Oryctolagus cuniculus: one gene and its partner. The protein of the gene in region 2 interacts with the protein of the main gene of each other region in a pairwise test. Links are inferred from orthologs where the notes say so. Each region holds a gene or a part of one and is shown on either strand. Other genes may lie near its edges.

Region 1 (3,746 bases), on a different chromosome or scaffold from region 2:
ATTCCACTTCCTGTTGACTCTTAAGACCCTCAGTTGGCCCAGTGCAACCCTGTCAGAATGGAATACGTGATGAAGCAGTCCCTATAAAAGTGCTACTGACAACTTGAATCTACCTCCCAGGAGTGCAGACTTTTACACCTCCATTTTAAGAAGGTTCACTACTAGCACACTTAATCCAAAAGATGTTATCTCTAGGTGGAATGTCGGACACGAAAGAAAATAAGTGGGTGTGAGTAGGAGGAAGTGGGAGTGTGGTGGGCCCAGGAGGAAGAGGAACTTTTCTGATATCCAGAACATGTAAGACAGAAAAACATCTCCTCCGTGTAGTCTAAGCCCATACCCAGACGTTGACTAAGTCCCTGATACGTCTCTGTCTCTGGATAAGGGACCCTGGTCCTACTGCTGTGGGGTCATGCCCTAGAGAACCAAGGAGCATGGTTCAGATTACTGAGGGAGAATTTCAAGTTAGCCAATGATTGGTTTTAAGTGACCCCAATCTGTGCAGTGTTCCACCTTGCATGCTTTCAATATGCTCCTTAGATTTTTATATTAGCCAGATGGCATCCCAATTATCACTTACAGCCTTTTAAAATAAATCACTATCACTTCTCTGAAAGTAACAACATGATCTTATGCAATCCAAACTTCTTGGGGAGTGTCCAAAAACAAGATACCACATTCTCTCCAGCATTTAACCATAAAACCTTTACCAAAAAAACAAAAAGCTATGTGTCATCTGGAACTAAGTGTCTCCATTTTAAGCTGCTATGCCTGTAACTGTCTCTGGGTACTTAGCAAAACAGGGCTCCTGACAATCAGGCCAAGTGAGCTCTTGGTGTTTGTAAGCAGAGCAAAAGGAGAAGAGCAGTACCTATGCACCTGAGTCAGGACGTCAAGGCCTCACGTTTGGCCTGGAGATTTGGGCACACATCTCTCCACTTCTCTCAGGCTTTTAAAAAAGCAAAGTTGCAGCACAGGTTACCAAGCAATTAATGGCTGCAGGTCCAAATGAGTATTTCATACCACCTCAGCTGGAATCAACCCTAGTGTTTGCTTTTAAGCAGCTCCTCTTAGGTGAGCTCAGTGCTAGACACCAAGACAGCAGCAACCCAAACAGAGCAACAAAAGAAATGGGAAACAAGAGGGTGTGAGAGCACTAGAGAGACCTGCTCTTCCGTCACCAAGGCATTGAGACAGTAGTAGGACTGGGAGATCTAGTGATACCCATTTCTTTATTTATTCGCTGTTTTAGAGAACTTCAGCAAACAGCTCCCAAGTTAGTTGTGCTTCCTCTATCAACCTTGCAACATTTGCTTTTAAATGTAGTTGATTATACAACTGTACACATGCCTTTTCCCTGAACAGTTGTTTAGAGGGACTTTTGCCAAAGGTCCCGGAAGTAAACATAAACATCATGAATTCGCCTAGAGGAAGATGACATATATGTACTTCACACACACATATATATATATAATACAAACTACACATTAAATATAGTATTAGCAAAATATACTACCTTTTACTTCTTAAGTTATATAGTAAAATATTAGGAAAACATTGAAGAAGGGACAAGAATGAAAACTATGAACCTTAACTATCTAACAGAACAAATACGGTGCCTGCTGGCCTTGAGAACAGCACACTCCTTCATTTGATCTTTTAATGGTGTCAGTTGCCCTAATCTACAGCTTTAACCATAGGACCAGATGACTCATTCCTCCTATAGCCAGATCTCTGTGCCTAGAAGCCAAGAATGACAAAGGGCATGCGAGAAAAGTTTACTCTCCTGTGTCTTAATCTGTAGAAGAGAGAGAGAGCAAGGATAAGTTTAGCCTGTTTCATCCGCATGCTGGAATTAAACTCAAGTCATTTCACATCCATCTCCTATTTGCAGTTAATGTATACAACGTGCACTCCACGAGCATTGACACCAATGTTGGCAAAAAAGCAACAAAGCTTCCTTTCTGACATGCCAAATAGATCTTTCTCAATATCTGAGCTCCAAGAACACCTATCTCGGAGCACTGAGCTCCCACAAGCAATCAGCTGCTTTTCATCTCTCTCCTGCAGCTGCTAAAACGCTGATTTCAACCTGCAAAGATTTCTGGGCCCCATCAGTCAGCACGTCTCGCGCCGTGTTCACAGCCCGATTACGGGAGACAATGCATCTAATAGGAAGAGCTGCTGGAGACGGTGGAAGATACCTTCACGCTAGTTGCTTCCGCAGAAAAGGCATGCAAGTCTAATTTTAATGGCAAGAATCACTTACTCTGTTACAGCGGTGCTGCTGAAGGAATTATCCTGAAGGCTGAAACAGAAACAAGAAAACATCAGCCAAGTCTGGCCGGGGAGCCGTCTCCCTGATTGCTCTCCGGGAGTTAGAGCGCATACACAAACATGGCATTGCAAGGCAAGTCTCAGGGCTCGCCCGGCACGCTCTACCTTGGGCTGCTGTCTGCACATGCTCGTAACGACACCCCCAGCAGGGGCCCAGCTGCACAGGCGAACCACAAAGCCCGGCAGCCCGCGAGGGTGCGGGGACCGAGCTGGGCGGGGCGCGGCGGCGGCTCGACCGAGACCCCGGCTGGCAGCGAGGGGCACCTGGAGAGTTCCCGCGCGCCCCCAGCCTAGCCAGCCTTCGCTGCACGGCTCTCTGGGCCAGCCACCCCCACCCCGGGGCCGGCCGGCGACGTCCTCCTGTTTCTGCCTAGGTGCTGAAATACCCCGGAGACCTGCTTTCCTCCAGACGTCTTCTACCAGTCTGACTGAGCTACCCCCCCTCCACTCCCAATCCCCAGGGCTGGAGGCTCGCCGAGAAGCATCCATCCTTCAGAAAAAGCCGAGGGGGAGGGGGACTTCGCTGCCGGGATTTTGCTTGGTTTTTATTGTGTGTGTTCTTTTCATTGCTTAGGAGAAGAGCCGTTAAGAAGGACTGGGGCATCACTCCCGATCTGTCTGCCCCGTTATCTCAGACCCACAGAGGAAGCGCCCAGCCCGGGAGGACAGAGCTGTGAATGAGCCCACACAGGGCAAGTGGAGCATTTATTTATTACAGGCATTAGCTGGTGACTAGGGCACTTGAAAGGGGGTGGGGCTTGCTCCGCCCCAGCCGCCCGCCTGAGCTGCACCCTCACAAAGGGTGGAGAGACAGAATGGACAAACACCACCCCCTGGAAGGAAGGTAGCCATGCTGGAGGAGGGGAAAGCTGCCAGCCCCTAGTGGCTTCATGCCCCTGGGGATGTGTGTCCTGCCCTCTTTCCGTGGCTCCTTTCTCTGGTCACGTTGACCTTGATATGGAATGAACAGTCATCTGTGAAAGATGCTTATTTGAATTTTGAAGTAAGGTTCACCCCCCCCCCCCTTTTTTAATGTCTCCACTCCCAGAAGCAACTGAGATGGTGGCTTTTAGTGCAAAGTACACAAGGTGATGAGTTAATTTAAGACCGAAACCGCCAAAAATGTATTTTTAAATTTTTAAATGTTTTTTTAAATTTCTAAATTTCAAACTTAGAAATGCGGGGTTGGGGAGGTAGGGAAGCATGATCTATCAGTGCCATACTAAGTGTCATACTGTTTAATAGGTCCACCCAAAGGCTAGGAGATTATCCTTGTGCTTGACTTAGCTAAGCACAGTGGATTAGATCTTACCCATGTCGAGTTACATGGTAACTTGCACGTTTACGCACTCTGTCCAGAGGACAAAGATACCTCAGCATTCCCGGTTATACTGTATTGTGGAATGCTA
Region 2 (3,479 bases):
ATCCTGGCCCTGTGAGCTGTGGGAGCCGAACAGCCTGGAACGTGAGAGTGTGGCTGGGGAAGTCAAACTGGCAGCTCCGTGTCCTGGCCACCATGTCCATCCCCCTGGGGGGCCACAGTCCCCACGGAGCTGCTGAGAGCAGCAGCCACGACTCAGCCCATGGTGCCCTCAGCCAGGCCTGCATGGAAAGGAAGCGCCGGCCCCGGCCCGAGCACACACCTGCAGCCACTTGGGGAAGAAGTGCTTCTCGAGGAGCCCCACGAGGCTGGAGACGGAGATCATGCCCTCCCAGTCGATCACCCAGTAGAAGGCATCCATGTGCTGCTGGTGGGGGTTGATGACCAACTCGCCCAGACACATTCCTGCAAGAGACAGCCTGGCTCGGAGGGGGCTCGGCTCCTGCGAGGCCGCAGCAGCCACGGTGAATCCCCGCCAAGCTGCCCGGCCGACCGTTCCCAAAGATCACTTTGAAGCCTTGATGTAACAATTCTTAAAAGGCGTCTTCTTCTCTAACCCAGAACAAACTCATATTTAGCATGAAATCCCACAAAAGCTTGAGAACACCGACAGCCCAGCCAAGGCCAGTGCTCGGGAAGTGCACAGGGCACCCCGAGTCCAGCACCGCCCCTGCAGACACGGCAGAGGACCCCGCGAGGTTACGTTCGGCCCCTGCACACACGGCACGGTTCTCACAGCGAGAAATTACATGTGCTACGCATTTCCACGCACTCAGAGGCCAGGGCAGCAAAGCCACCGGATACACAGAGAAGGCGTGTGGCCCGTGTCCTCACCCAGCTTGGGCACTATGTTCTTGACCATGAAGGCCTCCCAGGAGCCGGGGGTGAAGACGTCCTTCCAGGGCTGCAGGATGAGCTTGGCGGAGGAGTCGCTGGGGTGCCACTTCTGCAGCGCGCTGGACAGCTTGCTGCGGATGGGCGAATAGAGCGGCTCCAGCCGGGCCTGCATGAGCGGCAGCCACGGGTGGATCCAGGAGTGGATGGGGACGGTGTCCGTCAGTGGGTTCCAGTTCTCCACCTGCGGATGAGTGGGGAGACGCGCTTCAGAGAGTGTGGGGCGGCTGTCTGACACCCGGCGGACTTAAAGGCAAGCGCTGGTCCTGGGGGAGGAGGCCTGGCACTCTCCTGGCCAAGGGCCAAAGCCTTCTGCATGTGGATGGAGGACATGGTCTCATGGGCAACTCTGTTTCCCCACAGACGCTGACCCAAACACGGCCATGCATCTGTGATAAATCTGACAATGGCACAGTTCTAACTGTGCAGAATGGGCAGAAAGCACTGCCCCGGGGCAGGGGGTGTGGGGGCAAAGCGGAGAAGAGGGCGGGGCTGACAGCACGGGACGACAGCCACGCCGGCAGGGCCTGCTCAGTCCAGACGTCCCCGTGGTGCCGAGGTAACGAGCAGAAATGCTGGCCAGCCCCCTGGGCACCGGCGAGGGCCCACCTCCTTCTGCAGCTTGGGGAAGATGAGCTGGTCCAGGATGTTGTCCAGGACCCACGCGGGGATGATGTGCACCCAGCTGTCCAGGAAGTCCACCATCGGGTCACAGTTCCGCGGCTGCCACTGGTTGACGATGTTTCGGACAAAAGGCATCCAGACCTCCCATATCAACCTGTGGGGAGAGGCAGGGGCGGGCGGTGAAGTGCTCAGGACACTCGTCACCGCCCGCCCCCAAGAGAAGGGAGAAGACCCAGCAGGGAAAGCCGTTAGCCCCAGGAAACCGCGCTGGTCAGCCGGGCCCGCCTCTGGGCGTGCTCTGGCTGTCTGCACCTGCTCATGTCCTCGGGGATGTTCGCCGCCAGGCAGGGCAGCTTCAGGACCACAGGGCCCCTGCAGGCCACTTTCCCCCCAGAGTCCCCCCACAGCTGACGTCTGTCTCCGGGTCACAGCTTAAATGTCGCCTCTCTGGGGGAGGGGCTGGCCCCTGCTCCTCTCCGTCACTGTGAACAGTAAGCACCCTATGTCTGCACTTTCCCATCTGTCCTCTGCCCTGTGCACTGTACTGCAGACGGGGGCTGCTCCTGAGTGTGCCCAGCACCTGGCACACGCGTTGACCCAAAGCCAGCTGAATCCGTCGATGCTCCTGGGCCTCCCCCGGGCCCAGGGGCCAGCAGCAGGAGCGTGGAGCCCCACCCGCAGTACCTGTGGAAGGCTTCTCCTGAGAGGTCCTGCCCCCCCCCCCCCGCCCCGGGCCCTGGGTCCAGGGGCCAGCAGCAGGAGGGCCGAGCCCCGCCCGCAGTACCTGTGGAAGGCGTCCGCCGAGAGGTCCTGCCCGCCGTGGGACAGGAGCTGGTCATTCTCCAGGAGGCTTTTCCACTTGGAGATGATCTCGGTTCCGTACGTGCAGTCCTAGGAGGAAGGAGCAGCTGAGGGGCAGGGCCAAGCAGCCCCGGGCCCTCGGCCCAGCCTCCCCCGACGAGGGCGAGGGCGGGCAAGGCTGGGCTCCACGGCGACTCACCTTGAGGGGGTCCCAGTCCTTGAAGTAGTCCTTCATGAGCGGGTAGACGATGGCCACGGCGAGGTCCACGCGGTCGGACATCCTGTACTCCTCGTAGTACTTGTCCTGCAGGGTCTGGAAGACGCGGGCGCACTCGTCCAGCGTGAGCGGGTTGCTGCAGGCCGGCTGCAGGCGCCGTGCGCACTGCTCCACCAGCTCCAGCACCTTGCTGAGGTTGGCGATGGCGCGCTCCTCGTGCTCCAGCACCTCGGCCATCTTGTCGAGCTCGTGCGACAGGTTCACCACCATGTCCCGCTCGTACTGCAGCTGCCGGTCGTTCTGGATGATCTCCTGCTCCGTGAGCTCGATCAGCAGCTGCAGGTTGTGCTCCAGCTCGGGCAGCGCGAAGCCGGGGGCCTTGGCCTCCTTGCCCGGCACGGGCGGCGGCTGGGCCTGCAGGGGCAGCCCCTCGTCGGGCACGCTGTGCTTGTGGCTGATCTGGCTGTAGCTGTAGTAGACCTTCTGCTCCCGGCCCGTCATGTCTATGACCTGGGGGAACGGGGGGAGGCAGAGGGGCGTGGGTCAGCAGGTGGCTAAGCCTGGCCGAGAGTGAGAGCCACGCCACTCGGCAGAGCCGCAGCGGGCAGTGTTTGATAAAGTGGGGTCCGCGCAGTACTAGACTGAGGAGACTCAGGGACAAAACAAACGACGCAGCAAGCGGTTTAGGCTGCATCCCTTAGAACAAGCTGGACAGAGGATTCTTGGGAAAGCTGAGGAAACTTCAATGGGAACTGAGGACCAGTGATGCAAAAGTGATCTGACTGGAAAAGCAGAGGCTGTACTGTGTACACACCAGGCCCTGATGGCAGCAGGCAGTAAAACATCTCACTCTGCTGAAACACACTCGTGCGCATGGAAGCATCGAGAAACATGGACAGGGACGTGCGGTAAGGAGCTAGCACCTGCTCACGTTAGGTCAGGAACTCCCTGCGGCGGTTCAACTGCTACCTGGGACACCCTCATCT

What was found. The genes of interacting proteins can lie anywhere in the genome.
Region 1: the proteins of TFIP11 (region 2) and FAM13C interact in binary tests that used the Homo sapiens proteins (3 or more experiments, as listed by UniProt). The two-hybrid records come from large-scale screens. The link is inferred for Oryctolagus cuniculus from reciprocal best matches to the Homo sapiens genes TFIP11 and FAM13C.

Annotation. Positions count from the first base shown.
Region 1 is NC_091446.1:51,834,838-51,838,583, forward strand, and holds the start of FAM13C (protein FAM13C), read right to left. Parts: upstream 2,437-3,746; 5' UTR 2,332-2,436; coding exon 2,270-2,331; intron 1-2,269.
Region 2 is NC_091452.1:20,270,013-20,273,491, forward strand, and holds part of TFIP11 (tuftelin-interacting protein 11), read right to left. Parts: intron 3,004-3,479; coding exon 2,476-3,003; intron 2,367-2,475; coding exon 2,260-2,366; intron 1,630-2,259; coding exon 1,461-1,629; intron 1,036-1,460; coding exon 792-1,035; intron 363-791; coding exon 220-362; intron 1-219. UniProt on the Homo sapiens protein: Involved in pre-mRNA splicing, specifically in spliceosome disassembly during late-stage splicing events. Intron turnover seems to proceed through reactions in two lariat-intron associated complexes termed Intron Large (IL) and Intron Small (IS).